4 linked regions of the Struthio camelus genome follow. The protein of the gene in region 3 purifies or fractionates together with the protein of the main gene of each other region. This does not show direct contact. Links are inferred from orthologs where the notes say so. Each region holds a gene or a part of one and is shown on either strand. Other genes may lie near its edges.

Region 1 (7,917 bases), on a different chromosome or scaffold from region 3:
TTGTTCTTCACACAGCTGATTTTATCCTTTGGCATAGGAAGGAAATGTACTTTACATAGCTGGTGAAGGTCAGCAGTGTCAGAGCATAAATTCAGCAAGAACGCTGCTTCCTCCAGAGATGGAGAGCTCCTGCAGGTCCAATTGTAAATCAACTTACAGATGTTAGATTACAGATAAAAAGTACCAGCAGAAAATGTATGTATGACCCTTAAAAAAGAAAGTCAGAAAAGGCAATGATCTGAGCGAAGTCACAGATTCTTCCTTGTTTTGTTTTTGAAAGCTGAAAATAGATACATCTATTCCAAAATATTTCTGTCCCACCAAAGCGTTTGTTTCCTAGAGATCTGAAGAACCTCATCTTGGTATGTTTGCAGAAAAAAAAAAAAACAATAGATATTAGTTAAGTCTCTGGTACGCTGGATAGGAGCTTGCCTTGACTTCACATCCTTTGGTGAGAGGAGAAGGGAAAAGGTACGAGAGTGAGGTGTAACTTCCTTTTTGATGGCTCTTTGTCCTGCTTATATCACAGATTCCTCCTGTGGGTGAAGCAGTGGGATTTATGCTTCTACCCTATTTACCTGTTCTGGTTGCTTTTTGCAATTCTCTCAGTACACACACATATGGATTCAGTGAATCTGTTGTTCAGTACCACCTTTGTGGGTCTTAATTTTAACATTGGACTCTCCCCATTTTGAATGTAAGCAGTGCAACATTCACATACCCCCACTCCATGTAATACTCACGTTGCTGCTGGCGCTTGTTTTTAGCAGTGGCCCTTAAGATTGCTTCTAACTTCATTTCCAAAAGCACTTTGAAGCCAGTGTGACATCCCAGGAGCAGGAAGGAAAAAGTATTGAACTCCTGAATTGTTTGCTTGGATTGATAGCTCTGGAACCTGGGAATTTGCAGCTTTGCACCCGGACAGCCCTGGAGCCCACGGTAAAATGTTGTTGACAGTCTCATCCAAGTCTTGTGTCTGACCTCGTTCCTTGACCACAGATATCACAATTAGGAATTGCCTTCCTGACCCCAAATGGTGAAAAGGCAAATTCAGCAAGCTCTTCTGGGAGAAGCTGCTTTGAGAATCTGTGAAATTATCCTCTTTGACACTCAGTTATTGGATTATTTAAATCTCCTTTCCCAGCCCAGCCCTGAGGACAAGAAGAATTTACCATCATAAAGCGATCCAAACTCGATGCAAAGCCTGAGCTGAGGGAGGGTGCCACGTGCCAAAGTGAGCCACTCCGGGCTCAGGTTTCCAGTCATTTTAGCTCCCTTCTCCTGGCAGAAACAAGCCCTGCCCTGAGAGACATCTTCTTGGTTGTGTTTGAAATTTTTCATTCGCTGAAGCCAAATAAGGGAAGCAAACCCAACACTGCTCTTTGTTTGAGGTTTCTCTACCATGAAGGGCAAGAGACGCTGCAGGTTCTCGTGCCCGCCCCTATGGTCTCTTCGCACAAGCGGCTGCCTCTGCTGCTCGCGTGGCTCCTCTGCACTGGGCAGTCCCCATTTTTAAAACCTGCATTGCCTCGGCCTGTTAAAAGGAAGCCGGTTAGATCCTGAAACTCAGTTTAGGTTTTAGCTGCCCTAATTGAGCTCAGGCTCAGGCAGATTTGACTAAGTCCCTCAAAAGAGTTACTTTCCTAGGCAGTTGTGGGCTCAAGCCTGCACCTGCACGGTGCTAACTCGTGTGTCTGAAGTGTGCAGGAGGAAACCCCCGGCTGGCTGGCCGGCCGGCAAACGCAAACAGAAAGCAAGGCAAATGCAAGCAGAAAACAAACAAATACCGGCGTCTGAGTTGCCCCCGGTACCGGGAGCCCCCCGCTTGCCATAGCGGCTCTGCGCAATGCAGAGGCGAAAGTGCACCCGACCTGCTCCCCTCTCCCCCGGGTAGGAGGAAGAGTCATTCGTCCTCAGGCAATGCAGACGTGTGATTTCCACCCGCCTGGCCCGCCAGGGTCGAAACACAAGGCGAGCCCTCTCCCTCGCAGCCAAAAAGGCTCCCACGGTTGCTATGGGGAACGTGGCCAAAGCACAACGCAGCCTTTAGCAGAGATGATAGGAATAAAGGATTAGGCCACACGTTGATAGGGTTTTTTTTTTTTCCCTGACATATTCATTAGCGTTTCTGGTAAGGCAGTTTTCCCCTGTTCCTCGTCAGCTATTCTATGTGACACAATTGCATCCCGTGAAAAACATCGCTCTCAAGAGATCCGACTCCTCATTCTTTCGATGCTTAGTGACAGATTTTATCAGTTCACATTTTCGGTGCTGTCTTTTCCAGAAGGGAACATAACACCGGAAGGCACCTTTCGGTTTATTGAATCCAGTCCCTTGCTATACTTTTCTTCAGAAAAAGGAGACAGGCAACTTTTTTTTTCCCCCTTTTTGGCTTTTAAGTGAAATCCTCCTGCGCATATCCACCGACCGGGAGGGGAGGGGGAGCAGGGAGCTCTGTGTTTGCAGGACAGATGTCCAGACATGAGCGAAACGCCTCCCGAGCTGTCGCGGCTTGCGCAAAGCGGGGTTTAGCCTCGAGGCACCCAGATTCTTCAAAAGCAAAACGAGGCTTTGTTCCGCTCGGCCTGAGTAAGCCCCGCGCTTCACCTTCCTTCCCTCCCCCGCCCCCACGGAGGACCCAGTTTTAAAAAGGTTTGATGGACAGGATTATTTTCTCTATATGAAAACGCCAGCTTTGTAGATCACTTTAAAACTTGGCAGGCCCCAAAGTTCCCACACTGAGTAACTTGCAGCACGCTGGTGTTTACGGGCTGGTGGCAACCCCTTCTGGGGTCCAAAACCAGCCACCTCCCGGCATCAGCGGGGCTACGCTGCGTTTCAGCCGCGTATCGGACTGCCGGACCGGACCCGCTGTGCCCCAGCAGTCTGCCTCGGCACCGTACTCCTCCTGAGAAACAATAAAATCTCTTATCGTTTTTATGTTTGAATCAACTTTTGCAAGTCTAAAGGTTATCAGAGCTCAAATTCAAGCATCTGGCGGTCATAGAAATAAGATCTAACTCTTGTTTGGAGCCTGTGAATTCTTTTATAGAAGATATGCACCTTTTGCAAGGGTTTATAATGCTGCACTTTTTAAACACGTTAGGCTGAAACTTGCTGGAACAGTTGTACTATTTCAGATCTGGCAAACTGTCTCAGTTGCTAAGCAGTGTTTCTGTAAGGGAACTGTTAAAATAGGGAGGGGATTTTTTATTTCTGACACTTTTTGGTCACAGCCCAATTCGTGATTATTAAAGGGAACAAATTTGCACATTCCTTAACATCTGGCCGTATCTCCTGAACCCTGAGGGAGAATTGGAAAAAAAAAAAAAAATCTTGAGAACACATGTCTGGGCCTGTGTGATCAACTCTACCAGTTGCTTTAGTAAAAAGCACTGCAGCTCCCTCCAGCCCTTGCCTCTCTCTGGAGTCCTACAGCGACCCCATAAAGCAGGAGCCAGAAACCGAGACGTTTCTGCCTGCGGCACTGCACCACCGAGCACCCTGGCAGGTCTTGCACGGGAGCGCGGCTAGCTTTTCACAGCTTCAGCCTCGGTCTGCATTTCAACGCCTTCCGCACGTGCAGAAATCAGGGCGGCTGAGCCTGCGTTCACGCTCCTACAACTTTCTCACCAAGAACCTCAACTATTTCCCTAAGAGGCGAACCCCCCCCCCCCGACTTGATCGTCTCTGGTACAGAACTAGAGGCAGGTGATTACTCAGAGGAACATGGTGCAAGAATAGCAATTAACGTCGCTCAGTAGCTGGGCAGCGTTGTTCGGAGGAGACGAAACAAAACCTCGTCCTCGCTTGCGTCACCAGAGCCAGTTCCTGCCTTTTGGGCAAATTACGACTTTTGCGGTCGTAACATGACCCCGGTTCTGTTTAAATTCGGCTGTGCTATTTGCCCGGGCGGGCACACCGCCGCCGCTACCGAAACAAAACACCCTGCGTGCCCGCTGCCTGCCTTTCAATCTCTACGTTTGGACGCGCTGTCTATTTTATAGGTCTCTTTATTTTTACACATACCTGCTGCTGAGTTGAAGCGCGCACCCGCTCCGTGCACCTTATGGGAGGGCGTCAGAAGTGCAGCTGGCCGCTCCCCCACTCCCCCCAACGCCTGTTTGGCCGCCACACCCCCCCACCCCCACCCCATCCCCTCTCAAAATTATCTCTCCTGCTTTTTACCCTTTATATGATTCCTGCCATCCCTCCCTCACCGCACTGTCCCGGCCCTGTTGAGGCCTCCACGAACAGTAATACCGAGTGCAGGCTATTATCAGAAAGCAATCTCGGGCGGGGGGGGGGGGTGAAAAAAGGTTTAACCTCAAACACGACGCTTTTGTGATGGGGGGGGGGGGGTGGGTTTTGCCCCCTGCCCGCCAGGGCCCGGGTGCGCCGCCCCACCCAACGGCCGCCCCAACGGCCGCCCCAACGGCCGCCGCGCGCCGCGCCGCGCAGCGCCTCCCGCCGGCCCCGCCGCCAACACGTCGCAGGGCGGCGAAGGCGCTGCCGCCGCCGGGCTCCGCCTCCGCCTCCGCCCCCGGCCCCGCCGCCGCCACCGCCTGGGACGGCGCGGCGGCACGGCACGGCACGGCCCGGCCCGGCCCGGCACGGAGCGGGGCGCCTGGCCGCTGAGCACCGCCCGGTAAGTCCGCCACGACCCCGGCGCCGCGTTAGGCCCCGGCGGCGCTGCCGGTGCGGGCGGGGGGTGCCCGGCCCCAGCCCCAGCCCCGGTCCCGGGCGCGGCCCGGGCGCCAGGTGCCGCCTGTGCCCGTTGCGGCGCCACGTGCGGAGCCGCCTCCGCCGGCCGAGGGGAGAGGGGAACTTACCGCCGCCGCTCCTGATCCCGGCCCCGACGGCGCACAGCAGCTGCTGCTTTCTCTTCCTCTGGTTTTATTTTTTCTTCCTTTTCTCCCTCCCCCCCCCCCCGGTCTCCCCCTGGGCCAGGAGCCCGCGGCAATGCTGTGGCAGGCGTGAGGGCCCTGCCGGGCGGGCGGGCATCGGCCTGGCGTTTGGGGACGGCAGGGAGGCACGCACCAGCCGGCGGCCATGGATAAGTACGACGACCTGGGCCTGGAGGCCAGCAAGTTCATCGAAGACCTCAACATGTACGAAGCCTCCAAAGACGGTCTCTTTCGGGTGGACAGAGCCCCCGGCAACAACCCCGAGTTTGAGGAGACCAGGCGGGTTTTTGCCACTAAAATGGCCAAAATCCACCTCCAGCAACAGCAGCAGCAGCAGCAAGAGGAGCTGCTGATGGCCGCCTCGGGCTCCCTCAACGGCGGGGCCGGTTTCGGTGCCCCGCGGCCGAGCGTGCCGGGGCCCCGGGGTGGGCAACAGGGCGGCCGGGCCCAGGCGGGAGGCAGCGTGGCCAAGCCGCCCCTGGCCTGCGCTGCGGCCGGCCCCCCGCACCCTTTGGCTTTCCCCAGCCAGCCCACAAACCCGGCTGGGTACGGCTGCGGGGAGAGCGTCCCGGGGGCACACGGGTGCCACGGGGTAACCCCCAGGCCCTCCCCACCTGCCTCTTTTGGGGGCTGCCCTGCCCCAGGGAGCCCGGCTGCGCTCCAGGGCTGGGACGGGGATCCAGACGGGTTTGCCGTGCCCAGACCTGCTGTGGGGAATTGGCGGCCAAACATCAGTCCCAGCGATCAGGTGCTCCGGAGCCCCACGAAAGCCCACGGTGAGCCCCGGCTGCACCAGCACCGGTCTTCAGAGGGGAGCTGGGAAAACAGGAATGAAGGCCAGAGGAGCGGCCAGGGCCAAGAGCACAAACCAGCGGGGCAGAGGTCCTCCTCCTTCTCGCACACGCGAGGCCCCCTGGCCTCCTCTGCCGGGTTTGAGGAGGGGGTGCAAGTGGGTCTCCCTCAGCAGCGGTCATCATCCTTCTCAGCCCCATCCACGCCACCCGCCCCGGGCTTTTCAGGCCTCTCCGACCCGCGTGGCCCGAGTGCCGGAGTGGATATCCCAGCCACAGACAAAACTAGGGATGGTGGCCAGCGGTGGTACCACGACAGTCCTCCATCCTTTTCTCCTGGCTCAGCCCCAGTGCCTGTGCCCCCAAGCGTGGACTATCAGCAAGCCAGCGCTTATCCCAGTGCCGCCGGCCACTTTGTCGCCCACGGGCAAAATCACAGGCCCAACAGCAGTGGTGCAAACCCTCAGCAGAGCACCTCCAACGCGGCTTCACGCGGGCCAGTGACTTTGGATGCTCCCAAGACACCTTTCAGAGAGGGCCTAAGCACTCTGCAGTCTGACTCTGGACACCAGGAAAACTCCGGGGCGACGAAAGTAAAACTACCCTGCCAGACCCTCCTTCCACCACAGGAGCAAGGGCCGTCTGCCGCTGAATTAAAATTAGAAGCACTCACCCAGCGTCTGGAGCAGGAGATGGATGCTCGTCCAAAGGCCGATTACTTTGGTAAGTGTCATTGCAGAAAGGTGTAATTAAAAATTGTTATGAGTATGGTTCATGACTATGTATTGCAGGATTCACACCTTCAGGGCTGCGTTTCCCTGGTACTTTTATTTGGTTATCCTTTTTCAGTTACTCGCATGTTTTTATTCAAGATATTTGAATAGGAAGATGGCTTTCTAGACTGCTGAAGAATTGGATGGTGTCAAACCCTACATAAGGACCTACGGACTGGAGAGCGCGGTTCAGCTCAGAGGAAGCTGTGGTGGACTTCGCTTGACAGGAAACGCCCCAGAGCCTGTCGTAGTTGAACATACGGCACATTCCACATGTGGCAGGTGTAATGAAAATGCTGTCGTGACCAGGGTTCTGTGACTTGCATAGAAATTGCAGCTTGAGTAGGTTCTGAGGACCTAACCATGTGCGGTTGTGAATTTTCTTAAAAAGGTGTTGACTGAGGATGTAAAGGTTGTTCTTTTTTCAAACTGACGTGGATTTTCTCCCCCCACCCCAAGAGTCAGTTCCCGTCAAGCCTGAGCGGGTGAGTGGATCCTGAATACTTCCAGAAAACAGGCAATAGATACGCTCCGCTCTAAATCTCAGGTCCGCAAGTAATCCTGACCAGCACCAGATGTTAACGCTGGTAATTTATGATGAAAAGTGCCTGCTTACGTGGGAGGATATCTGAATGAGAAAATTAAATGCCCTGCTGGCTTTAACTGATTTAGTGTCACAGAATGGCAAAAAGTCGATGGCGAATGGGGTGTTTTCTTTCCTTGTCTCTCGTGGCCACTTTGTACTGTAACAGCAGCGGAGATAGTTCAGCCGTTCAGTTTTCCGGGAAAAGGAAACCTGGTGTTGCTTTTGCTAGGAAGGATGAGAATTCCGCTGTTAATTTAAATAATGGCAGGAGCAGGTCTAGTATATGTTTTCCTCATGATTTTAGATCTGTAGTCACAAAACTAGAAGCAGGAATAGATTAAGCTCTTCAGCCTAAGGTAGAGAAACTGTTTGCATCTCAGACTGCATAGGTCCCATTGCATATAGTCCCTTTGCTTCCTGTCTGCTGTGATTGCCAAGTAAGCCAGCGGTGGTCTGCACATACACCAGTGACCCTTAGAAACTGCTGCTGCCTTGAACTTTACATTATGCTTCACTAATGTAGTTGAAGGGACCTCTAAGTAATTAGTTGCAAATTCCGTAGTAAAATATGTTTCCGACCGCCTCTGTAGTTGTGATATTCCCCTGCAGATGGCTTTGCTGTGATTACTTAGCTTAACATTTGAGATTGAATTTAGCCTTGTAACAGGGCAGATACGGTTTTACTTACTGCTGAACAGTGACCTGAGAAGTTGCTTTATTTGGATCATTTCAGCCTGGGAATGTGGTTTGATGCTTTATGTACTACGCAGGGAGCATGCAGCTTGAATGAGCTCAGAGAACCTCAGCCCAAGAGATGCTGCACTCTTTTGAAAAGGAGCTGATTAGGAACATGAGTTTGG
Region 2 (7,508 bases), on a different chromosome or scaffold from region 3:
ACTCAGTGGAAACACGCTTATCTGGCACACGCAGCTCAGCATCGCTGGCACCCTGCCTCAAAGTCGCACGCAACTGGACGCGCTTGGCTCACACGTGCCTCGTGCAAGCTTCTTGATGCAACGCTACCGCGGGACTGACAGCACTTCAGCGGAGCGCAGAGTGGGTGAAGCTATCTGTTTGGTGCAGAAATAAAGGGCCTTCACACCCAACTCGCTCTAAACCAAGCTACTGCCTCCTGCTACGCTACAGTAGATGCAGACCCAGCATGTAATTGACCCTGCACAAAGGCTCCCCAGCCCCTTCTCGCGCCACAGGTCACCAACTCCTTCTCACACGCGGCACCCAAGAGCTAGGAGCTACAAACATGCATACCTGTAACACCCTACCCTCTGTAGCTCATCAAAGACACATTTAAAACATCAAAGTCAAGCAGTCTCTCTGTTTGCACGCACTTCCTCCAAATCATTTGCCACAGCTCAACTTCAGCCCACGTATCAGAACAGGCATGTCCTGCCCCATCAACCCAGAGAGCCTCAGCCCGCCTGGCATACTCCTGCCTGTCCTACGGCATGTCTCCTAGCTTGCCGACACCACGCTCTCATATCCAGACATCGGTCCTCTGCACCAGTGGCCAGCTCCAGCCTGCTAGGCTATCACCTCCCCACCCCAAACAAACATATAAGATACACCAAAGTCTGCCAGCTTAATGCCTTTCCCAACTGCAATCAGGCTGCCCCACATCCCATCAGCACAGCCCCTCGTGCAAATACGGACACTGAGGGCACAAGCCCTTTCCGCTGCAGCAGCTCTTTTCCACACGCATACAGCAAGGCCCACCCAAATCCCACCCAGAAGGAAGCCCCACAGAGCAAGGGCCTCCCCTCCTCTTTTCTGCCTCATCCCACTCTTTCCATGCTCGGAATCACCACCTTGAACCGCTCCTCCACACGCTGGAAAACCCTCTCCCACGTCCCATGGCCTCCACCCATCCATCCCAAGGGCTTCCCCAAGAGACAGGCCCTACTCCAGTCACCCCAGGGCTTCTCCTTCCCCTCTCGCAAGCCTTCCGCCACAGCACGTCACCCCATTTGCCCCAAAGGCCCTCCCCATGCACAAATTCCTAGAGCCTCCCACTACTGGGAATCATCCCTGCAGACACTCAGCAATTACAACCCTGATGCAGCCCCCCCCCCCTATCTGCAGGGCCTCATCTCTCCCCTGTAAGACCAATCCCCTCAAATTCTCCCCAAGAGGGAGGGACTAGTCCTTGCAATACACCCCCTTTCCAGGGCCTCCCTCACCACAAAGGCTCCTCCCCCCATAGGCTGGCAGGGTATTCACCCTACTTGGGTGCTCCCCAGGGCTGCCTGCCTCACCCACCGCCCCAAAGTCAGCTCCCTTCCCCAGCCTATCCCAGGACTTTGGCTCTAGGAGACACCCTCTGCCACAGCCTTCCAGCCTGAAACTGGGAGCTGGTCTTAGAAGTAGGTGCAAAAACATATACGCTGCCAGGGCCTCCTCTGGCTTCCTCCATAGGACTGCACTCTTCCCCACCACCCCTAGAGCCTTTCCCAAAGCCTTCCTCAACCCCCTCACCTTCCATCCCCACGGTCTCCCCATAAGGCCTTCCTCAGCCCCCCTCCTTATACCCGCAAAGCCTCCACCTCGAGGTCTCCCTTCAGCGCTTTCTCCTCCATACATCCCCAAGGCCTCCCCGCCAAACACCCAAACCCTTCCTCCAGCCCCCCACTAACCCTCGAGTCTTCTGCCCAAAACATTTCTCAAGGCCCTCACATGCACCCAGAACTTCCTCCTAATGCCTTCCTTAAAAACTCTCTATACGCTGCTACGGCCTTGCCTCGAGGCCCTTGTACACACACAGGGCTGCCCCCTAAACCCTCTCTGAAGGCCCCTCCCCTGCATTGCCAGGGCCTCCCCACAAGGCCTTCCTCCAGCCCCTGTCTCATTTCTAGGGCCTCCCCCTCCCCAACACCCCACATCTCACCACAAGGCCTCTCAGAGACTCCCCCCGCACCCCCAGGGCCTCCCCTCACTCCCCGAGGCCTCTCAGAGAACCCCCCCGCGCACCCCCACGGCCTCCCCTCACCCCCCGAGGCCTCTCAGAGACCCCCCCGCGCACCCCCAGGGCCTCCTCTCACCCCCCGAGGCCTCTCAGAGACCCCCCCCCGCACCCCCAGGGCCTCCTCTCACCCCCCGAGGCCTCTCAGAGACCCCCCCCCGCACCCCCAGGGCCTCCTCTCACCCCCCGAGGCCTCTCAGAGAACCCCCCCGCGCACCCCTACGGCCTCCCCTCACCCCCCGAGGCCTCTCAGAGAACCCCCCCGCGCACCCCCACGGCCTCCCCTCACCCCCCGAGGCCTCTCAGAGACCCCCCCGCGCACCCCCACGGCCTCCCCTCACCCCCCGAGGCCTCTCAGAGACCCCCCCCCGCACCCCCAGGGCCTCCTCTCACCCCCCGAGGCCTCTCAGAGAACCCCCCCGCGCACCCCCACGGCCTCCCCTCACCCCCCGAGGCCTCTCAGAGACCCCCCCGCGCACCCCCACGGCCTCCCCTCACCCCCCGAGGCCTCTCAGAGACCCCCCCCCGCACCCCCAGGGCCTCCTCTCACCCCCCGAGGCCTCTCAGAGACCCCCCCCGCGCACCCCTACGGCCTCCCCTCACCCCCCGAGGCCTCTCAGAGACCCCCCCCGCGCACCCCCAGGGCCTCCCCTCACCCCCCGAGGCCTCTCAGAGACCCCCCCCGCGCACCCCCACGGCCTCCCCTCACCCCCCGAGGCCTCTCAGAGACCCCCCCCCGCGCACCCCCACGGCCTCCCCCGCGGCCCCGGCACTCACAAGAGGAAGCTCATGGCGAGGCGCCGGGCCGGGCCGGGCCGGGCTGAGGCGAGGCGGCGCCGCCGGCTGCAGGCGCGCGGGCCCCAGCTGCTGGCGGGCCGCGCCCGGCCGCTCGTCCCTACTCTCGCGAGAGCACCGCGAGACTGAGCGGGGGTTGGGGAGGGGGGAGCGCCGCGGCAGGGGGCGGGGCCTCGACGCCGGAGGTGGGGGGGGGTGGAGCCCTCACCATGGCAACCGCCCCGCCCGGACAGTGGCGCTTGCAGGACCCTATGGGGCCAGGCCTCCCCATGGGCCTTAGAGCCCTGTACGGGCCCGGGATGCCCGTATGGGGCTAGGCCCCCCTGTGGGGCTAGGATCCCCAATATGGGGCTAGGACCCCCCCATATAGGACTAGGCCCCCTGTACGGGCTTAGGACCTCCCCTATGGGCCTAGAACCCCTGTCTGAGGCCCTCCATATAGGACTAGGCTCCCCTATGGGCTTGGCCCCCCCCATGGGACTAGGCCACTCCTATAAGCTTGGGACCCCCATATAGGACTGAGCTCCCGTACGGGCTGGGTTATGCTCCTGTGTGGGCCTGGGGCTCCCCTATAGGACTGGGACCCCCCCCCATCTAGGAGTGAAGCCCACTATGGGTCTGCAGCTCCCACAGGGTCCTGGGACCCCCGATAGGAGACTGGGCTGCCCATGCATCTGGGTCCCCCTATGGGTCTAGGACCCCCCCCAAAGGCTTGGGCAGCCCTATAGGACTGAGACCCCCCACCATGGTCTTGGGGCCCCGCCCAAAAGCCTCCCCCCCCCCCCGCCATGGGCCTGGGCAACCCCACAGCCTTGCGGGCCACTGAAGCGCCCCTCTGCCAGCCCGTGGCTTACGCAACCCCCAGCCCCTATTGCAAACTCCCTCCCCGCCTCCGGCCCAGCCAATCAGCGCCGCCGTGCCCATCTACGGAGCACAAGCCCCGCCCGCCACCACCAATCAAACACGGCCGGCTCCTCTCGCCCGGCCCACCCCGTCCCCCCAGCACCTCTCTCCCTCGGACCCAATCGCAGCGGAAGAGCCCGGGCTCCGTCCCGCCCCCTCCCTCGCCGCCGCCAATCATCTCTCACCTTCTCCTCGCCGCTCGCCTCGCCGCGGCGATTGGCTGCCGCCGGCCGCGGGGCCGACGGCGGCGCTATATAAAGCCATCCTCGGCTCGGCGGGGGTCCTCGCGCATCCCTTGTGGCGTGTCCCTTGTCGCCTGCCGTCGTCGCGCCGGGGAGAGCCATGGCAACCGCGCTGGGCCCGCTCCGCGCCCTGGGCCGCGCCGCGCAGGGCTCCGGTGGCGGCGGCGGCGGCCGCCTCCACCTGCTGCCGCGGAGCCGCCGTCTGCACCTCACGGCGCCCAGGTAGGCGGCAGGGAGCGCCCCACAGGGGCGGGGGGCTTATTTAGGGATGGGAGGGGCTTATCGGCTGGGAGGCGGGGCTTACCGGCGGCGGGGGGGGGGGGGGGCGGTGGCACCGGGCCCGGTTTCCCCCCCCCCCCTTCCTCCCGCCGTCGCCACGCCGGTTGCGGTACCGGCGCGGGGGCCCGGTGTGGGTTGAGGGGTGGGGGGGGGGGGAAGGTCCAGCCCGCTGCCCCCCACCAGGGCTGCGAGAGCCCCCCCGTCCCCGGGCCGCCGGTACCGGGAATGAATGAGGCAGGGCCCCCAGCGGCCGCCCCGGGAGGTGCAGGCTGATGAAATCCCACTCCTGCCTTGCGTGTGGAGCCCGGGCTGCTCCCCTGCCCCGGGGCAGCCTCCACCCCCCCCCCCCCCCCGAGAGGAGCCCCCCAGGGCAGCGGGGCCCTCCCGACCTTACTGGCAGCACTGGGCAGTGCCGAGGCCTCGCTATCTCTGGGCCAGGAGGAGCCCCCCGTGCAGTGCTGCCCCCCTTGCGGAGGGCTCGGGGCCTCCTCAGGGCAGGAGGAGCACTGATCCCTGTTTTCAGTGGTGCCAGGGGACTGGAGGGACCCTCTTAGTGTGTCCCCTCAGTGCCCCTGACTGCTATGACTTTGTGCAAGAAACCCAAACGAATTTACTTTCTCCTTCTCTTTAGCTATCACCTGAGCAGTAATACACCGCGAGGCTAAAACAGCTTGCCCCAATGCCATAAAAACCCCCTTTGGGAGAGCGGCTGCTTCCACTTTGAATTTTTTTGCTGTTTCATGCTTTGAGTTCTTACTTTGTCAACCTCGGACTTCCCGACAGACCTCAAAGCTGGTGAGCCTCAGGCTGGCGCCTGATGTGTCTCCCTTTCCCCTCTTGGCCAAGGCTGGCACCCCTAGCCTCTAGGGTTATGCAGCCAGGATATTCTGGTAAATTCTTGTTTCAATTTGTCTTTGGACTGGTAAAGTAAGTGTTGGAAGTGGGGCTGAAAGCTTGATTTTTGAACTTGCCTTTTGTGCTGATAGTAGCTTGCCAGGTGCCTGTAGTAATTCCTTTTGCTTAGTGCAGGTTTAGCTCTGAAGCTAAAACAAGCTTTAAAAAGGCTCAGCAGGCTAAGCTAGTCCGAGATGGATTTTTCTCAGTGGTTACTGCTAGCTAGATCTGACTTGGATGATTCCCTTTAGCAATGAGCTATGATTCAGTAATGGGAAAGCTACCTATATGAATAGCTCTGGGATTAAGAAGAAGCAAAAGATCCCCTACACCTCCGACAAAGCATTTTGGCAATAAGGCTTTCTCACCTGGGTTGGTACCTTCTGCGAGTTGAGTAGCTTCTGAGGCTTGTGTAGCTGTGAAGCGCTTTGCGGGGCGACTGCTTCAGAAACTGGCTGGTTCTTGTGATTCAGGAAGGTGCCGAAAGTGTCCCTCGCGTGATGCTGCGTGGAGCATCTTTGCCTGCTTCGAGTGAGGGGACTAACTGAGGGTCCTGTCTTGGCCAGTGAAAATCATCCAGCAAGTGAGCAAGGAGCTTGTAGCGAGGCCTTGCATGAAAGCAAGGCTCAAATGCTGTAGCTGAGTCCAGAAGTGACACTTGGGAAGGTGAATCCCGTCACAGAGGAACTAGTGAATGAGCATGACTTTCAGATTGAAGTGAGAACCTGAAGAAAAAGGAAAGCAAACAGTTAGTATATAGCCAGCTGGCAGTGAGGCCTGGCAGCCGTGTCCTCAGCTGTATTTTGAGCAAGCCTTTATGTACTGCAGGGTATCCAGTTGCCTGGAATGTACTTGGCAAGAACCATATATATTCCTGTTACCAATTTAGCCTAGAAATGCTTGCAAGGAGCTGTTCCTGTGTGGTTCAAACAGCAGGCAAATGTGTCCTCCCTACTCTGGCAGAAAGTTGGCGTCTTAAAGCCTTGCAGGGGGTAAAACCAAGTATCCTCAGTATGGCTTTACCTGTCTGAAAAGACTACTGCAACGGTGGAAGCCCCCCTTTAAAAAGGGAGGGCACAAGACTGGTGTGTGCAAGGTACGTGCTGTGCTAGGTGGGCTGAGATCCTTGTCAAGGGATTTGTGGGAGATGGGGATCTCTGGCAACAGCGCTGTGTGCAGAAGTACAGTGTGCAGCACCTCCTGTGCTGTGTCAAACAAGCTAGTTACTCAATAGACCTCTCTAGTGGAAACTCCACTTGGTGGAATGAGTTCTGCTTTACGCAAGTCCTTTGTAGTGAAGCTGTCGTGCCTTTGAAAGGGACGGATGACTGACCTTCTAAAAAAGGAAACTAGTAGTATCTGACTTGATGTGCTGGACAAGAGTCTGGACTCTTGCCCTTCCAGAGAAGAGTAGTCTGCGGGCTTTCTGAGGTTGCACAATGAGTTGGTCCTTGCAACAGTTTTACTGTTGTCCGGTATCAAGGTTTCAGGCAGCAAAGCTGTAAACTAGAAGATTGAAATGTGCTGCTTACCTGGTGTTTTCTGCAAATCATGTCTTGCACTACAGTTGCAGCAGACCTGTGTGTGTGGCTGAAGTGAAAGGGCTGTTTCTGTAATGCCTTGTGGTGGGCACCTGTTTCCTGGGTGGTTGTTGCCCAAAGCTAGAATTTGATGCTCCTAACAGTGCTGACTGCTTCATTAACACTCTGTTTATTGCAGCAATGATGCAGTTGTAATTTCTGGAAGGAAGCTGGCCCGGCAGATCAGACAGGAAGCCCGTCATGAGGTGGAACAGTGGGTAGCGGCTGGAAACAAGAGACCTCACCTCAGTGTTGTTCTTGTTGGTGAAAATCCTGCAAGCCACTCCTATGTACTGAACAAAACCAAAGCAGCTGCTGACGTAGGTAGGTCTTGTACTCTGCTGTTCTCCAAAAATGGAGCAAGTGACTGTTTAATATCTTGCTTTAGTTGGGAGCCCTCTATGCTGGGGGGAAGCTTTCAGGATGCGGCTATCTGGCAGCTTTTCACCAGTCTGGGGTTTACCCCAGCAGTTGCTGTTACTTTTTGGCTGCTTTCATAGTAATACTGGGGTGTAGTTAATGTGAAAATGCAACATCAAGCTATGTATTGTGAATTGGCAGGCCTCTCGGGTCCACACAGGACAGCCTGCAGGGAACTTTGAGCAGTTGAAAGAAGGCAAAAATCAAAATGCAGTTGACATCCAGTGCACTCCTGCTACTTTGTTGTGACTCCTTCCAGTCTTGCAAGCCAAGATCCTGTTCCTTAGGCTGCCTGAGGTGTCCTAAGTATGCTT
Region 3 (7,935 bases):
ACGGGCCGGGCTGCCACCCCCTCCCCCAGTCATTGATATGAAATGCTCTGGCAGAGTATCACCCTTCTGAAGCCTTGGGTGGCTCCACAACACTGTCTCTGTATGGTTGCAAAATGACCTGAAATGCTTTCACTCATGCGTGTTTGTGCGTGTGCGTGTGTGTGTGTGTGGGTGGGTGTGTGCCAGGAGGAAAGCGTATAGCCTCCACAAGCTACACACATGGCTCATTCCTCTCCACAAGCTCTCTGGTGCTCCTTTCCCACCCCTACTACCCCAGGAGCGTGCTAGCCCCAAACTCACACTTCCATACCAGGGGCTCTGCGTGTTCCTTCGTACTTTGTTCGCCGGAGCATTGGAGAAGTAAAGCGACTAATTTTTTCTCTCAGTAAAGGGGCTCTTCACAGGTCCCTCATTTTTCTCAGCTCTTTGCTTCCCCCATGCAGGCTTTACGTAGCTACCTTTGTCCTCTCCAGGTGCAGACCCTTGTTTTCTGCCCCAAGCCAAGGGTTCAGCTGTGCTCCCATTCCTCCCCCACCTTTTCTTTCTGTCTGGAAGATGAATCATTCTGGGTGTCTGTGGCAGGAAGGGCAAAGCTGTGCTGGGGGTATTGTTATGCTGGAAGATGCTGACAGCTACTGTGCCAGGCCTTTGATGAACAGATAATTACAGACCAGATTGATGGTTGCTGCATGTCCTCCTCTGGTACCAGGACTTCATGTGCTCTCCATTCCTCACTTCTTATTTTCTCCAGGATCAGAGGGTTGCTGCCCCTAAAAATGCCTAAAAACATTTCCTAAAATTTTGGAATTGATTGGATGTGGTGCTCAAAGCATTTGGCACTATATGTGAACAAAGATATGATACCATCAAGCCAACGGTAGGGCCTTGAAAACTTGGCCAGTTCCTTCGCAAACAGATAGTACAGCTGGCTTCTGTTGGTTAAATACCACACAAAATCACGACGTTCCTTCAGCCCTCTCAGGCGCTGCTTGGGCTCCTGCTGAAGTCAATGATTGACAAGAAGTGTGGGGCTGGGAGCAGAGTACATAGGAACATGGGTCCTTGGGAAATCCAGTGTTTTCAACTTTCTGAGTGAAGACTATAATGGCAGCCTGAGCCTCCAAAATGCCTTTCCCAGTACAGTGAGCCTGGGTTCATGCTTTGTCTGCAAAGTGGAGTCAACTTCAAGGTCAGATTTGTCCTATTTCATCTGCTTTGTGCTGAAATCAAAGGTAGTTCTAAAGTACCAGTGCTTACATTCTCTTCACCTTTGTCATCCAAACAGAGCATCACGATGGATCTCATAGAAATAGTCCTGATATAAAAAGCACAGCTAAATCAAAGTTAGAATTTAGTTATTTGTATTTTCACCCATCCAGTTACTGAACCATCGAGCCTGACTTTGACTGGCACGAGTGTCACTTTACATCACTGTTGAGCATACGTTACATTCACACGCCTAGGTTAAGTTTCCTATACTCCACCGGAGAACTGAAAATCAGAACTCCTGTTTTTAACTGGTTTTGCATTGGAGATTCGGGAAGAATAATTGCCCAGTATCAGTAAACAAAATAGATGTTTTTAAAACAAGAATATTTCCTTGCTTACCTAAGTCTTCTTTCCTTGCACATCATTCATTTCATAAACCAGTGGTTTGTTCTAGACATGTTCTCATAGTGAAGGATGTCACTGTCTGCAAAATTGTTTGTGTGTGTGCTTGTGTGCTTATACACACATATGCTCACATGTTCATAATCCTTTTATGTATGTGTGTGTGTGTGTGTGTGTGTGTGTGTGTGTGTGTGTGTGTGTGTGTGTGTTTCCTCTATGAAAAAAGACAGGCAGAGGATTAGACATCGTGGGTGATATTCTTGCTTTATCTTTCTTTTTCAAGTTTTCTGAATGGTTTCAAAGTAGCTTCTTGACTACTAGTACTGTGCAAAGAAAAAGTTCATCCACCCACTTCACAATTATTTGGTTGCTAGGAGTATTTTTAGCAGCACGATTTGGTAATTGGTTCAAAATATAATAGTTTAGAAAGAGTCACACTGTGGCCCAGCTAATGGTGATATAAGAGTACGGGGAGGGGAAAAAGCTACTCACTGCATTAGATGTGAGGGGATGGAAGTGAGTTGCACAGAGCTCCTGCTTCTCTCGCTGTCTCAGGTGGGTGGAAAGAGAAGGAACGTGAAACCCTGGAGCCTTGGTCCCTCCCACTGTACCCACATAGCAGGGCAGACAGCTGCTCAGGCAAGTTAAGAGGTGAATGCTATAATCATCATAGATCCAGCAGAGTCACTCACTTGAGCAGAGCCATGGATAGAAACACTGCCCCTTACTCATGGTAGATTATTATCTCATGGTCTAGTCTGCTCATACAGACAAACGGTATTGTTCTTTTTATGTAGCATCTTTCCTTCCGGCAATATCTGACTGTGTAGAACATAGTCAGGAGGAAAGACTTGAATGGTACACAGTAATCTCCAAATACTTACAGAGATCTAATCATGTTTTAACGGAGAAGTTGAATCATGTTACAACTTCCATTCCTGTAGTATTTTTGAGGAAGATGATTTCTAACAGTTTGGGTTTCTCAAGGCTAACAGCAGAAAGTCTGAAGAGGCTGCCAGTCTGCGGTGGACCAGCCTAATATGGGTACTTTCTAGAGAGCAGATGCAAGCCATCTCTCTTGTACCTGTGGCTCTGCTGCCCAGATCCAGACCCAGCAGCTCTGGCCAACACATGGAATGCAGAAAGTGGAGCTGGATCCGAGGGGGGGAAAGCAGTCCAGCTGAGTTTCATTTCCAGATGGACTGGTATGCAAAAGGAAAACAAATAGGTTTGAAGGAGAAAAATAAAAGATCTCTTTTACCTAGATTTAATAATGCAGATGACTGCCACATCTTAAGAAAGGACATATTAGCACACAGTAAGCATTTTTTATCTTGATGCTGTTCCTTTAAGGCAGCCTGAACTTTATTGGGAAAAGGTCTTAAGCCATTGAGCAATCCCTGGTTTGGGCAATCACGTTGCTATACTTCATCAGTTAAGTATAGCAGTAATTCAGAAAATGAAGCCATGCCGCATCTGTCATATCATTTAAAATTTACTTCAGTTCTGCAGGTATTTGAGGATTGCAAAATGAGCCACTTTACCCTGCACTAGTCTGTCAGCATTGGAATCTGCTCTGAACCTAATGGGTTTCTTTAGCTCCCTAGAGTTGGAGGTTTCCTTCCTCCTCCCCCTGGAACATATTCCAGTCAATGACACTATTGAAATTCTGACAGTAATTTATATACAGTAAGCGGCTGACCTCAGATGAGACACTGAACAATTCCTGTGCACCAGGCGGCATTTTTCTCATGAAATAACGGCAGTTTATTTGCAGTCACTTACCATTAATCCCCCTCTCCTCCCAGACCAGCGTCATTTATAAGCACTATTGACAGTTTGCGTGATGGAAATTAAAGAAAAAAAAAAAGATGACAAACAAGCTTAAAGAAATAGCCTTAGACAGGACCGTAGATGAGTAACATTACTCACAAAAATAGTGCCCTTGGCTTTGAAGAGGCTGTAAATATAGCTCCCATCCTAGAAAGACAGTTATGCGCAGACTTTTCTTTATATACCCCCACAGTCCTGTTCAAGACAGTGGGACTCGTCACATGATTAAAGACGACCGTGGGTCTTCAGCACTTGCGGGACTGACATTTCCCCTCATACTGTCGACAACTTTCCCTGCCAAGCGGCTCTTGCCGTGGCTCAGACACAGTTCCTCCTCACAGCTCTGTACCAGAATTTCAAGCATTTTCAAGTTTCATTTCAGGACTGCAGGCTTCTTCCACGTTAATGGTCTGAAGACACACATTTATGTATATATTTACTTTCTCATTGTTCTTAATTTGTATTCGTATCCTCTGGTTGTTGCTAGTGTCGGGGTCTGTGACACTGAGGGGCCAGAATCAACCTCCTTCCCGGATCGAAACATGGCTATGTTGAGGGGGACAGAGACAGGGACACCGATCTCTGGTTGATAATCGGTCTTTACGAGGGACCAAAGAGAGCTCTAACATCAAAACACCCCTGCTTTCATGAAAAACAGGCTCAGCTCCAGGCTGCTGTATCCGTAACGAGGTCCGACGCAAGCTTTGCGACCAAAAATCCCGACCGAATTGCGACTGAATTTTTGATCCAGAAGCGAGCTGCCTGGCTGTCCCGCTACTACTGCTCTGGCACCTCGCAGCACCCTTGATCCTCGTGATGACAACAATAAATACCCGAGTAGAAATAAACAACCTCCCCCAAAGAACTCAAACCAGGAAAAAAACTCAAAAAATCCCAAACAGGCACTGATTTCGAGCTAAACTCACCCCCCCCCAGTAAAAAAAAAAAAAACAAAGCGGCAGGAACACGTAAGGAATAACAGCAACTATAATTCTCATTTTAAAACTCTCCGTTAATAGGAGTCGTGGGAGTCCCCTAAGCCGAGGGGACCTTCTTCACCCCCTTCCTAAACCGTCCCAGCGCCATTCCCACCCCTGCGGCCCCGAGGTGCGGGAGGGCGGGGGAAGGCGGTTGGGGCAAGGCAGGGCCGGTTCGTCGGACGGGAGCAGCGGGGAAGAAGATGGCGGGGGGGGGGGGGAGAAGATGGCGGGGGGGGGGGAGAGGGAGGGCAGTGAGGTGGGAAGGGGGGAGTTGAGAGGGAAGAAAGCGCCACGAGCTGTCTTTAAACGCAGGGAAGGGCGGCCCTCGGGGGGCGGGGAGGGGGGGGAAGCGGAGGGCGGAGGGGGGGTCCCCCCCCTCCGCCCTCCGCTTCCCCCCCCTCCCCGCCCCCCGAGGGCCGCCACAGCCCTAACGGCCCTTCCCGCCCTGCCGCCTCGAAGCCCCTCCCCCCGCTGGTATGTGCCGGGAGGGGCGGTGGCGGTGGGGAGGGGGGGGGAGTGGAATGACGCGGGCGCCCCGGGGTCACGTGACGCGAATGGAATGCTAACAATGTAGCGAATGTCCCAACTGTGCCCTGCACTCGGCGCCCGCCACGGCCGAGGGGGAGAAGATGGAGACCGGCCCGCGCCGTCGGGCCCGCGGCGCCCGCCGCCGCGCCGCTCCCTGACGGACCCACCACCACCACCGCTACCCCGGCGGGCGGCGCGGGGCACCCCGAGGTGGTGAGCGAGCGAAAGCGCGGCTTCCTTCCCCCCCCCCCCCCCAACCCGGGGCTTCTCCCCCACCGCCGGTCACCGTCGGGACGGGGTTGTTGGGGGGGGGGGGGAAAGTTGGAAGGGGCCAAAAGAGCGGCCGCCAGAGGGTCGGGCGCGTCGGCCGGCGGCGGGGCCGGTGCCGGGGCTCGGCTGGCTGCGGCGGGTGCCCGGGGCAGCCTCCCTCGGCGCCCTGCCCGCGCCCTCCGACGTGTTTGCGGCCCGAGCGGGCAGCCGTGTGACAGCGCCTCGCCCGGAGGCCTCGGGCGGCACCGCGAGGGAGGCAGCCGGGCCGGGGCCGGGTGGCCGCGGCCGTGCTGATGCGGGGAGGTTTCAGCGGGGTGCTCGGCGCTGCTGGTGCCGGCCCCGCCGTCGAGGGTGTCCCGGCCGGGTTGGAGCCGCCGAAGCGCCGGGGGGAGCCCCGCGCCGCTGCCCCCGGCCGCTGCCAGGCAGCTGAAGGTCGCCGCCAAAATTCAGGTGGCTCCCGAGCGGGGTGGGTGTGTTGATGCAAGCGCGTACCCGCTGAAAGGCACTTGCGCGAATGACGCAAAAAAAAAAAAAAGGCCAAAAACAAACAGTAGCAAAAAACCCCCACCCAGCCCCGTAGTGTCCAGGTGGTGCGAGGGGTCACTCCGCTCCGCTGCGGCCGGCGAGCCCCCGCCCGTAGCGCCGGCTTGGGCCGGGGCTCGTGGTTGCCCCGGGACGCAGGCGCGGAGTTACTTTTGGGCAGTTTCGTTAGCAGGGGGAAAGGAGAGGTTTGGGAAAAAACTGGGGGATTTTTTTTGGTTTTTTGTTTTTTTCCAGTTCTCCTCACCGCTTTTGGTGTGCAAAGGGGAGCGTGGTTTGTACGGGGGTGAAATGCCAGGAACCCCCCGCCCCTGTGAGTCCTGGACCTTTTAGTACAAAGCAGGCAGTTCCCCTTTCCATAAGTTTGTAATGCAGAAAAAAAGAAAAAAAAAACAATAGCTTTAATTTTAGAGAGAGAAGGTTATTGTGGCAATTTCTTCAAACTTCATTCTTTCCTTCTGCAATGCTAGTTCACCTGACCGCAGTGCCTGCAGGGTTTTATAGGCTTGGAAGCAGGTTGCCAGTTTGGGGTTTGTGACTTTGCTCTCGAAACGCAGCTGAAGCTTTAGTTTGTTTTGCGTTTCCCAGTTCCGCGGAGCCACTGGCACGTGAAGCCAGTTGGTGAATGAAGGAAGCGGAGGGAGAATAGCTAGCGGGCTGAGACGAGACTTCAGCATTTCACTTCTGTGTGGTTGGTTGTTTACTGGCAGAGCAGCTATTAGTATTTCTCAACTGAAGAAGAAAAATCACTTATTCAAAAATCATTTTAACTTGGTGTAGTTAAAGTAATGTTACATTTATTTGAAATGAATCTTAAAAGAGTAATGGTCAAGCTTCTAGTTCGTGCAGAGTATATCGTGCTTCAGGGAGGGGAAAAAAACCCTACTGTTTAGTCAGAATAGCTTGAAGCTCAAAAACAATTCTGAAAAATCATTTCTCGTGATGGCAGAAGGGCTATTGGTGGTACATCCATGTGGTAGGCAAGGTGAAGATTAGAAGGATACGAAGTTATCCAAATCCAGATGTACAGTCAGAAATGCTTAGGCAGAATTAGATACTCTCTCTCTATTTTTTTTTAAGCATAAAAGCCTCTTTATTTTTTTCTGAAAATACAAATCACAGGAAAATTTTTAAAAAGCAGGCAGCTTGTCTTTCTCTGTAAATCATCTCTAATGCCTAAATGTTCCAATTTCTTACGTGTTTAGTTAAAAAACCCTTCTGCAAAATATAAAACACATTTACAGTTAGCTGCGGTACTTAACTGCTGTTGCTGGTCTCATTCATGCTGCCTAAACAATCAGCATTACATTTACAACACTGCTAAACCCGAAAGAAAGCTGCAGAAGCTTCCAGCTGGCCTGACCTAGCATTATTAGACTCAAGCTTAGGCTAAGGGTCACAAAAGTTGTTTATGTGAAGTGTGTGTGTAGGTGGGAAACCAGTCCTTTGCTGTAAAAATGTGGGGGGATTGCAGGCTTCTCCAGCACATCCCTGGCCTGAGCATTGGCACAGGGTCTGAAGAGAGGAAGAAAACCCAGATCCCTAAACCCAGCCATGTGGTGCTTGCTGCTGTCAGGAGAGGAAAGACGGTTATAGACCAGTTAATTGCTCTGTATCATTTAATTAGTAGCTAGTTAAGATGTATTCCTAGAAAGGCTGCAATGCTATTGATTAGCGATACCGTTTTTTTAAACATTCTTTTATTAAAGCTGTGTACTAGCTGCTGCTATATCCTGTCTAGGTGGACAAAATTCTGCACTTGGGATTCTTCAGTTCCCCTGATCTTCACTGAGAGCCATGAACACATAGCTGATTTATTGCTTGCGGAAATACCAAAATACAGATGAACAGCTTTAACACTTTCCTTAAAACAAAGGACAAACCTTGTCAAAGATGCTTGTGGACACGTGTGCCGCTTTTAGTCTGTATGAGTTAGGTTTGCAGGATACCCTTAGAGAATAGCAAGTGGAAGAGCTCACTACCTCACAGATATCCTTTAGATAAGCTTCAGAGCGCTTAAACATGAGGAAAAGAAATTCATATGGGTGTCCTGTGTCACACACATTCTCAGTCTCAGCAGGTTGATGCTATAGGGCTTTGCTGTAGAGCTCTACTACTCTACAGAAATTTCCCATAAAAGGGGTGTATGGCATGCTTTCTAACGGTATGTATG
Region 4 (7,898 bases), on a different chromosome or scaffold from region 3:
TAGGTGATATATGCTATAAGCAGTTCTCACTTGCCACAAGACTAACGTGTCGCCTACCGTCATTTGCCTCACATTTTACTCACAATTCAGCTTTCGAAGAATACTAAAGCAGATGCAATGGTCAAGGATCTCTATGTTGAGAATGCACAACTGCTGAAGGCTTTGGAGATGACAGAACAGCGGCAGAAAACTGCTGAAAAGAAAAACTATTTATTAGAAGAAAAGATTGCTAACCTCAATAAAATAGTAAAGAACCTGGCATCCCCCTCTTTTAATTCAGCATCTGAGTTAAGGTCATAGCAAAGCCGTAAGTATGCCACAGTCCCATGCACTTTACTGAAATGTTAATATTTCAGCTCTTCACTGTTTTGCCTTTTTGAACTGATGGATTTTTCGTTAAAAACTCCTCCAAGGAGATGGCAGAGCTAAATCCTAAACAGGACACTGCCAATTTCTGTTTATTCCCAAACTATTTTTCTCCTAAATTTTGACTAAAACTAGTGTTCAATATGTATTAAAAAAAAAAAAAAAGACGGGTTAACTTATTCTGATACTTTTTTATTTTAAAATATACATTCTGAATTTACTGTACCAATCTAGATTGAAGCCAGGGTCTAAAGCAAACTTAATGAATTCAAAACTGAAAAAATATTTCTGGCTATCTAGGCTACTTCATGGTTCAAACCTAGTAATATTGATAGATCAGTCTTGAGCACTGTCAGCATAATTGTTACTGAAAGCCAGACTTCCTTGATGCTGTCCATATCCTGCAAACTAATTCTGCTTTCTCTAAAGCAATATGCTGCACCTCATGCATTAGGCTTCTGGTTCATCATGGCTGTTCCTCAGCAGAGCTCAGAAAAAGTGTTTTCTTAAAAATATGTACATAGACTACTGCCTCCAACTAAACATGACAGCATTTCATCTGAAGAAACTTCCCAGCTGGTAAATGAAAGATTACTATTTTTTTTTTCAAGCTGCACTGCCAGACAACTTAAAACTGTAGAGGCCTTAAATTTTCTGTGTGTGGAAATAAGTTACACTAAACAATGGAAGAATCACCAAACAGAAGTGAAGACATGAGTTGTGTTTATACAACTTGTAAACTCATTAAAGCAGTGGAGTATGTTTAATAAACAACTCACAGAAGAATGAAGAGGGAGACCTAAATGATTTCTTCAGTGGAATCCTGTCATTAGGGCTGCCAGAGCGGGACCTCTGCCGTTCATGCAGTGTTCTGTTTGACTTGAGTGATCATTTGAATAAGGCCTGTTGTTTCCAATAGATGCTAATACAGAATCTAAGTTTGTAATTAATTGTGAGGAAACACATTCAAGGTGAATATGAAAAACTCAGGGAATAACAGCCTCAACTAGTTTCCTGCACTATTACAAACATGGATATTAATGTCAGTAGATGAAAATAAACATGCGTTAGGAAAAGCAGGATAAACCAAATTGTATTTGGTTGAATATTACCTGATGATACTCCTAGACAAACACGCACTAATGGTGTAGTCATGATGGTCAAGGAGCAGCAAGGTTTTGTAACGACAAGTAGTATCTCCTATCAGACCAATTTATGAGGCTAGGGAATACAAATTTTCTGGGAACAGCTTCAAGATTTGAGATAGGTCTGACATAAACAGCTGAATGAGAGCTTGTACGCTTGTATAACCCATTGCTGCAGTCTAAATAAAGATGCTGTCGTTCCCTATACGGGCTCCTTGCCCCTGTCAGGGCAGTAAGAGATTTTTAAACAGTGTAAATAAAACTGGTGAAAGGAGCCATATTGGCCTTACTTGAAACTGGTCCTCTTTAAATATATTCTGCATAAATAGTGTATGCAGAGGAAGAGGGTAAAATGCTTTGTCTCTGAAACCACTAGTGCAAGGTGACAATTATGACAGCATTTGTAATGAGCCAGCTGCCCCCTAGAAACTGGGATAAGACTGCCTATGAGCTGTTGAGTCACCTGCAGAAAATTGGTCATTTGGTACTGATTAGTGTGTGGCTCTAGGGGATGCTATCTATGTCTAAACAGTTACCTGCTAATTGGAGGGTTAAGGGACTGAAATATACATATGGAGTATGACCTCCTCTTCTCCTTCCCCCTTCCTCTTCCCTTCCTTTATGCAAGCAATATAAGGCCTATTAAAAAAAGAATGTAAGATATATCAGGTTTTTTTCTTACACCTGCATGCAAGAATGGAGCATAAAGACACATGTAAAAATAATTATGAAGAATCTGTGCAATTTGTTGTTGTTGAAAGGTCACAGTGAGTATACAGGAGTATATCTTTTTCAAAAAATGAAAGATTTATCAAAACAATAATGGAAAAATACCTTGGAGTAACATAATCTTTATACATTATTTCATAACTGTCTTATTCTAAATACCTGTACTGACCGTTTTTCTGAGTAATCTCAAATTCTGAGATTTACATACCCCATTTTTCAGTCCGCAAAAGCTTTTAAAAATTCAAAATTGTATTGAGATAAATTGGAGCTTCTTTTTCAATTTTGAAGCAGGAACATTTTGTTTCTCATAGTAATCAATAAACAGTATCACTTACTAAAAAGAAAAAAAAACACTGTGTAGGTACCCAGCCTGTATGTTAGCAATATTAAAACCATGCCTAGGCTAAGAAAATTAGCGATGCTTAAGAATATTTCCAGGCAGCACTGCAGCTGATGTTCAGATGATCAGAATTATACTTGGAAAAACATTATTAGATAGTACTGTTTAAAGCTATTTCACATCTTGACCTAGGTTTACTTCTAGGGCTCAGTATGTGACCAAAGTGTGAAAACTGAACAGAGGGAATGAGTATGTATTTAAACTCCTGTGGAATTATTTTGAAATAACTCATTTTAAAGGCTAGACTACTCACTCACCTAATTTTTAATCTCCTGGTACTTATGGTGTTTTTAACCAAACATACAGACGTTTCGAAAACACAGTGCCAAAAAGGGAGCCCAGATACAATGATAATACTGGAACAGTAAGGAGAAACTGAGAAAAGGGAATTCGACTTCTCCCTTTCTCAACCCATGCTCTTTTGCCCTACTTTTCTTTCACTTAGCTTTAAAAAACTAAACTAACCACGGAAGAGAACAGGAGGAGGAGGATGGAGGAGGAAGAGAATGTTTGGTAAATATTTTATTTAGACAGACTCCAATTTCAGTAGAATATTTGTGTCAATTCTCAAAAGTGCCTTCTATAATTACATATTCTAGACTCTTTCTGTACTGTACTTTCTGTTGCTACAGAACAATTCAGGACAATCCTTTCCCAAATGGAGTGAATTCAGACAAAGGTAGCGCTGCTTACAAACAAGTGTTGTGTTGTATATTGGTTGAGTACGTCAGCTCAGAAGTTAAGCAGCAAGTGTTACAAAGTCTAAGCTAGTGAAAATAAGCATATAAACATGTAAACTCTTAAGCATTTGTGATCTTCCATGCACGAGTGTCTCCTATGCAGTGTAGGGATTTTAAAGATACTAAAGTATTTAACAGTATCATAACATGCAGTCAAAAATTATTGAATTCCTAAGCGTTGTTCACGCAACAGATCTTGACAATTAAGATATTAACTACTGTGTTACCAAAAGGTGTTTTAAATGTTTTTAACTCTTGCTTTATGAATCACTGTGAAAATAGAGGCACATAGATGTTTGTGGCTGAGATTTCTGAGAGAGGGAAGAGGAAGTATATGACTGAGTCAAATTTTTGTGAATTAAATCTACACAGCTGAAGTACTACTTGTCAATTTAGAATGGTATAAAAGCATACATTGCCACACATTCACAAATATTCATTTAAATTCAAAGAAAACTAAATTATTTGAATTCTGTTTGAAAAAGGGATTGTAACGTATTTGATTTTAGCCATTTACAGATTACATGTGAGCTGCAGAAGGGGATGGTTTGGCTCTATCAAAGAACACTAAAAGCCTTTATTTTGCTTTCAACAAATGACATCACTGTTATAACTGTGCTGTGTTGTCTCCCAGGTTTTACCTGTTACAGTCTCCTGTTCTCACTGTCATTGCTGACAAATGACTTGTGTATAAAGAAAAAACAATTGTATATTTTTTTCCTTATCAGGTTTGTTTTGTTTCAGTGTAATATACTGTCCTTATAACATCATGTAAAGCAAAGGTAAAACAACTTGTACATTATTTATGAATGTAAAAAGAATAAATTTCTGTATGCTCACTGCTTGTTTTTTTGGTTTAATCCAATTTATCTACCCATGGAAATTGTAGGTATTTCACATGCTATCTGAAAATTCTTAAGTATGTACATGAGTAAAGTGTAGTAACAGAAAGGACGGTAGTTCCTCGCTGCCTTAAAGTATAAAATAAAAAGTGGGCGGTGTAAGAGGTAGGTTCACTATCGCACCAGCTTTTTAAGAACAACAGCAGTCGCATACCCGTTCTTTGCCTTTATGGGTGTAACACAGGAGGCACTCAGTTTTCCCTTCATTTAACTAAAATTAATGTTTGTTTGGTAACTGATGCGAGGGGCAGGGAGGTGATACCTGTGGCAAGCAGAGGGCGGCTCTCTGGCGGCAGCCGCCCCTGAGGGAGCGGCTCTGAGGTGGTTGGGGGGGGGGGTGGAGGCGGCGGCGCGCGCCCTTCCCGCCTCCGCCGCCAGCGCTGCGCATGCGCCCCTTCCCCGCCGCGCGGGGGCGCGGTGACAGCACCAGCTTCCCCCCCGCACCGCGCCGGGAGGGCGGAGGCCGCTTTCCCACAAGCCCGCGCGCGCGCGCGCGCGGCGCCGCCGAGCGGGGCACGTTAGCGACGCGCGTGCGCGCGCGGCTCCTCGCGGACTCCCCCCCCCCCAACCCCAGCCGCACCCCGCCCCCTTCCCCCCCCCCCACCGCCACGGCCCAACGGGCGGCGCGAGCCGCCGCCGCCCCGCGGCGCTGAGCGCCCCTCCCCCTCCCCTCCCCTTTGACGGCGGCGGCGGCGCGCGGCCATGCGGGCACCGAGCAACGGCCGCCGCGCCTGAGGGGGGCCGCCGAGCCCTGAGGAGCGGCGGGCGGCGCCGGGCATGCGGGCGCGGCCCCGGTGGCGGTGGCGGGCCGGGAGGTGGGATGCTGTCGCGGAAGAAGACGCGCACGGAGCTCTCCAAGCCGGGCGAGGTGCAGGGCAAGTACGTGAAGAAGGAGACGAGCCCGCTGCTTCGCAGTGAGTGTCGGGGGCGGCGGCGGGGGTGGGGGCGGCCCTTTGCTCGCCACCGCAGCCTGCCTGCGGCCCGGCGGATCCTAGGGGCTGTTTTGAGGCGTTTTCCTCATAAACGGGGAAAAAAATCGCCCCGTTGGTAGCGAGACCTGACCGAGGTTAAACCTGAGAGAGAGGCGTACCCACACAGTAAACAAACTTTTTCTTTAAGCTTTTCAGTCCCAACTTTTTTCAGTCTCAAGAGGCCAGGGCTAAGATCATCCGCAGACAGATCTCCCTGAGGTGAACGGGGCAGTTCAGCTCTTTCCAAAAGTCAGTGTTTTTCCCAGGCCAGGCTGTGTCGGCTGCCAAAAGGTGTGCGCCTTGAACATGAGGTAACTGTCCACGCCAGTCGCGTAAAATCCCTGCGGAAGCGAGTGCTCCGGTTTTAACGGTGAACCGACGTGGTGAGGTCACTCCTACATACCTCGGCCGCGCTAGTCTTCATCCCGTTAACCTGGCGTTAATGCTGCGGCTTCCTTCTTGCTAGGGTTTTACAGGAGAATAGCGGAAGCGCGTAGAAAGTATTGAAAACAAACTGAGACTGAAGCGCATCGTGCTGTAATGGTAGGATTAGGTTAGCTTTGAGGCCGCGACTAACAGCTGAGCGGCAGGCAGGAGCAGGCAGGCGCTCGGCTTCTCTGGAAGTCCTTGCTGCACAAACAACCCGCTCCCCAACCAACAGGCAAAATCGTTTAGCAGCCTCACAGGCTTAGGCTTTAAAAAAAGAACTACTTTTCTTTTTTTCTTTCTTTCTTTCTTTCTTTTTTGTTTTAGGTTTTTGGTGTTTCTAATGGGTCAACCCCTTCTACGCGCTTATGCTATTTGCTGTGAATTAATGACCAGCTATTACATGACTGCGTTGTAACGACTGTTACAAAATTACTGATTACACCTTGCGCGATGCACTGAAATTTTGCTTTAAGTTATACGTTTATAAGAGTTTGCTTATAAATAGTAAATGATAGGCATGGCTTGCTCATAAACGAAGCTTGTAGTTTGTGTTAGCTCACCTGCAGGAAAACTACTTATTCACGCCGTGCTGAAAGTAATAACAAGGAGTATATCATATACTGGAGGGAAGCAGTGAAATTGCTTGAATAGTTATCAGTGTTTGTGTCCCTTTAAATAAAGGAGAAAAATGAGGTATCTTCGTGTTAATTTGAGAACTTACACGTGCAAAATGACAACGTTTTGCTGATTAAGCTTTGTTATATGTGGAAAATATACAAATTTTGTTCCTGGCTCTGTCATGGAGTCCTATAAGCATGTAAGCATTGATGTATTCAGTTACTCAACGTTCATAAAGACAGCGGTCCCAATAAGGTGGTAGACTGGTAGCCAGGAGAGTTAGATTTTCTTGATGTTTCTAGTAGATAAAGAGGTGTGAAGCCTGGCTGATGTAGCCACAGGCAAAAGTGTGTGACTAGTTTATTTTTTGCAGATGCAGTTGTACTGGCAAAACTGTGCTCTTTGGGGGATTGTTTCCGTTGCTAGAGGAGAGCGTGATGGGTTTTGTTGTACCAATACAAACTGCAGCGTTACAACTGTACTCGCCTCTGCATTAGAGGCGCTGTAAAGGGGTTCTGGCTTTTGAATTTCCTGAATATCATAGCGTAAATCAGTGTTGCAGCTAACCAGATATTTTGTGCAAGTGGAGCTGAAATTCTTATTTCGGTTTTATCCTGAAACAGATCTGATGCCTTCATTTATCCGTCATGGTCCAACCATTCCAAGACGAACTGATATCTGTCCTCCTGACTCAAGTTCTTCTGTATATGCTTCTGGAGGAGATGGAATTGTTTCCAGAAACCAGAGTTTCCTTAGAACTCCAGTTCAGAGGCCACCTCATGAAATAATGAGACGTGAAAGCAACAGACTGTCGGCACCTTCCTATCTTGCAAGAAGTTTAGCTGATGTCCCTAGAGAATATGGCTCTTCCTCCCAATCCTTTTTAACAGAAGCTAATTCTGCTATGGAAAATGGAGATGCTGGTGCCCGTTGTTATTATTATGATCATTTTTATGATGCCCAAAGGAGGCGTCAGTTAAATGATCGCGTACATGAGGACTACAGGTATTATGAACAAAACAGTGATCTTTTCCAGAGGATGTCACAGAATCATGGGAGGCACACTTCAGGTAAGTATTGATTTATTTTTCTTTCTCTTCTTTTCTTTTCTTTTCTTTTGTCTTCTTGAGAGTGGCTGCAGAAGTGCTTCTGGATGCTCGTGGTCGTATATTTTAAATGTAATACTGTACAGGCTGGAGCTTCTTTTTAATGATGTTTCTGTTGTTTGACTTTACTACTTGTTTACATTTCTTAGAATAAAGAGCTAGATCACGTGTATTAAGGAGAAAGGAAAAATATATTCAAACAGTGGGCTATTTATAAAATAAAAGAGGTAAGCTTGAGCAAGTTTTTTTTTAATGACCAATATTAGATATCACCAGCTTTGTCAAAAGTTGTGTAAATGTTTATTAGATTCGTTGCCTTTAACAAGTAAGAGTGAACAGGTTATGAATTGTTGTGGATGGTTTTTCTTGTTATTGACAGAGTAATATTCTGAGGCATACTGTTGATTTAGATAACTTTATCTGTATTTGCATGTAATATTGTGGAAATTGTGTTTTCACTCTTGCATTGCTAGGAAACAAGGATTTTATTCA

What was found.
Region 1: the proteins of LATS2 (region 3) and LIMD1 purify together in Homo sapiens (affinity purification with mass spectrometry; 3 studies listed by BioGRID and IntAct, with this or other methods). This does not show direct contact. The link is inferred for Struthio camelus from reciprocal best matches to the Homo sapiens genes LATS2 and LIMD1.
Region 2: the proteins of LATS2 (region 3) and MOB1A purify together in Homo sapiens (affinity purification with western blotting; 9 studies listed by BioGRID and IntAct, with this or other methods). This does not show direct contact. The link is inferred for Struthio camelus from reciprocal best matches to the Homo sapiens genes LATS2 and MOB1A.
Region 4: the proteins of LATS2 (region 3) and SAV1 purify together in Homo sapiens (affinity purification with western blotting; 4 studies listed by BioGRID, with this or other methods). This does not show direct contact. The link is inferred for Struthio camelus from reciprocal best matches to the Homo sapiens genes LATS2 and SAV1.

What each region holds. Positions count from the first base shown.
Region 1 is NC_090943.1:50,662,194-50,670,110, reverse strand, and holds the start of LIMD1 (LIM domain-containing protein 1), read left to right. Parts: upstream 1-4,914; 5' UTR 4,915-5,052; coding exon 5,053-6,421; intron 6,422-7,917. UniProt on the Homo sapiens protein: Adapter or scaffold protein which participates in the assembly of numerous protein complexes and is involved in several cellular processes such as cell fate determination, cytoskeletal organization, repression of gene transcription, cell-cell adhesion, cell differentiation, proliferation and migration.
Region 2 is NC_090968.1:1,088,366-1,095,873, forward strand, and holds the start of MOB1A (MOB kinase activator 1A), read right to left. Parts: upstream 3,002-7,508; 5' UTR 2,873-3,001; coding exon 2,859-2,872; intron 1-2,858. Other genes in the region: MTHFD2 (bifunctional methylenetetrahydrofolate dehydrogenase/cyclohydrolase, mitochondrial), read left to right, coding at 4,122-4,243, 6,914-7,098. UniProt on the Homo sapiens protein: Activator of LATS1/2 in the Hippo signaling pathway which plays a pivotal role in organ size control and tumor suppression by restricting proliferation and promoting apoptosis.
Region 3 is NC_090942.1:203,548,263-203,556,197, forward strand, and holds the start of LATS2 (serine/threonine-protein kinase LATS2), read left to right. Parts: upstream 1-4,925; 5' UTR 4,926-5,165; intron 5,166-7,935. UniProt on the Homo sapiens protein: Negative regulator of YAP1 in the Hippo signaling pathway that plays a pivotal role in organ size control and tumor suppression by restricting proliferation and promoting apoptosis.
Region 4 is NC_090946.1:80,908,232-80,916,129, forward strand, and holds the start of SAV1 (protein salvador homolog 1), read left to right. Parts: upstream 1-4,896; 5' UTR 4,897-5,102; coding exon 5,103-5,196; intron 5,197-6,923; coding exon 6,924-7,370; intron 7,371-7,898. Other genes in the region: NIN (ninein), read left to right, coding at 91-300. UniProt on the Homo sapiens protein: Regulator of STK3/MST2 and STK4/MST1 in the Hippo signaling pathway which plays a pivotal role in organ size control and tumor suppression by restricting proliferation and promoting apoptosis.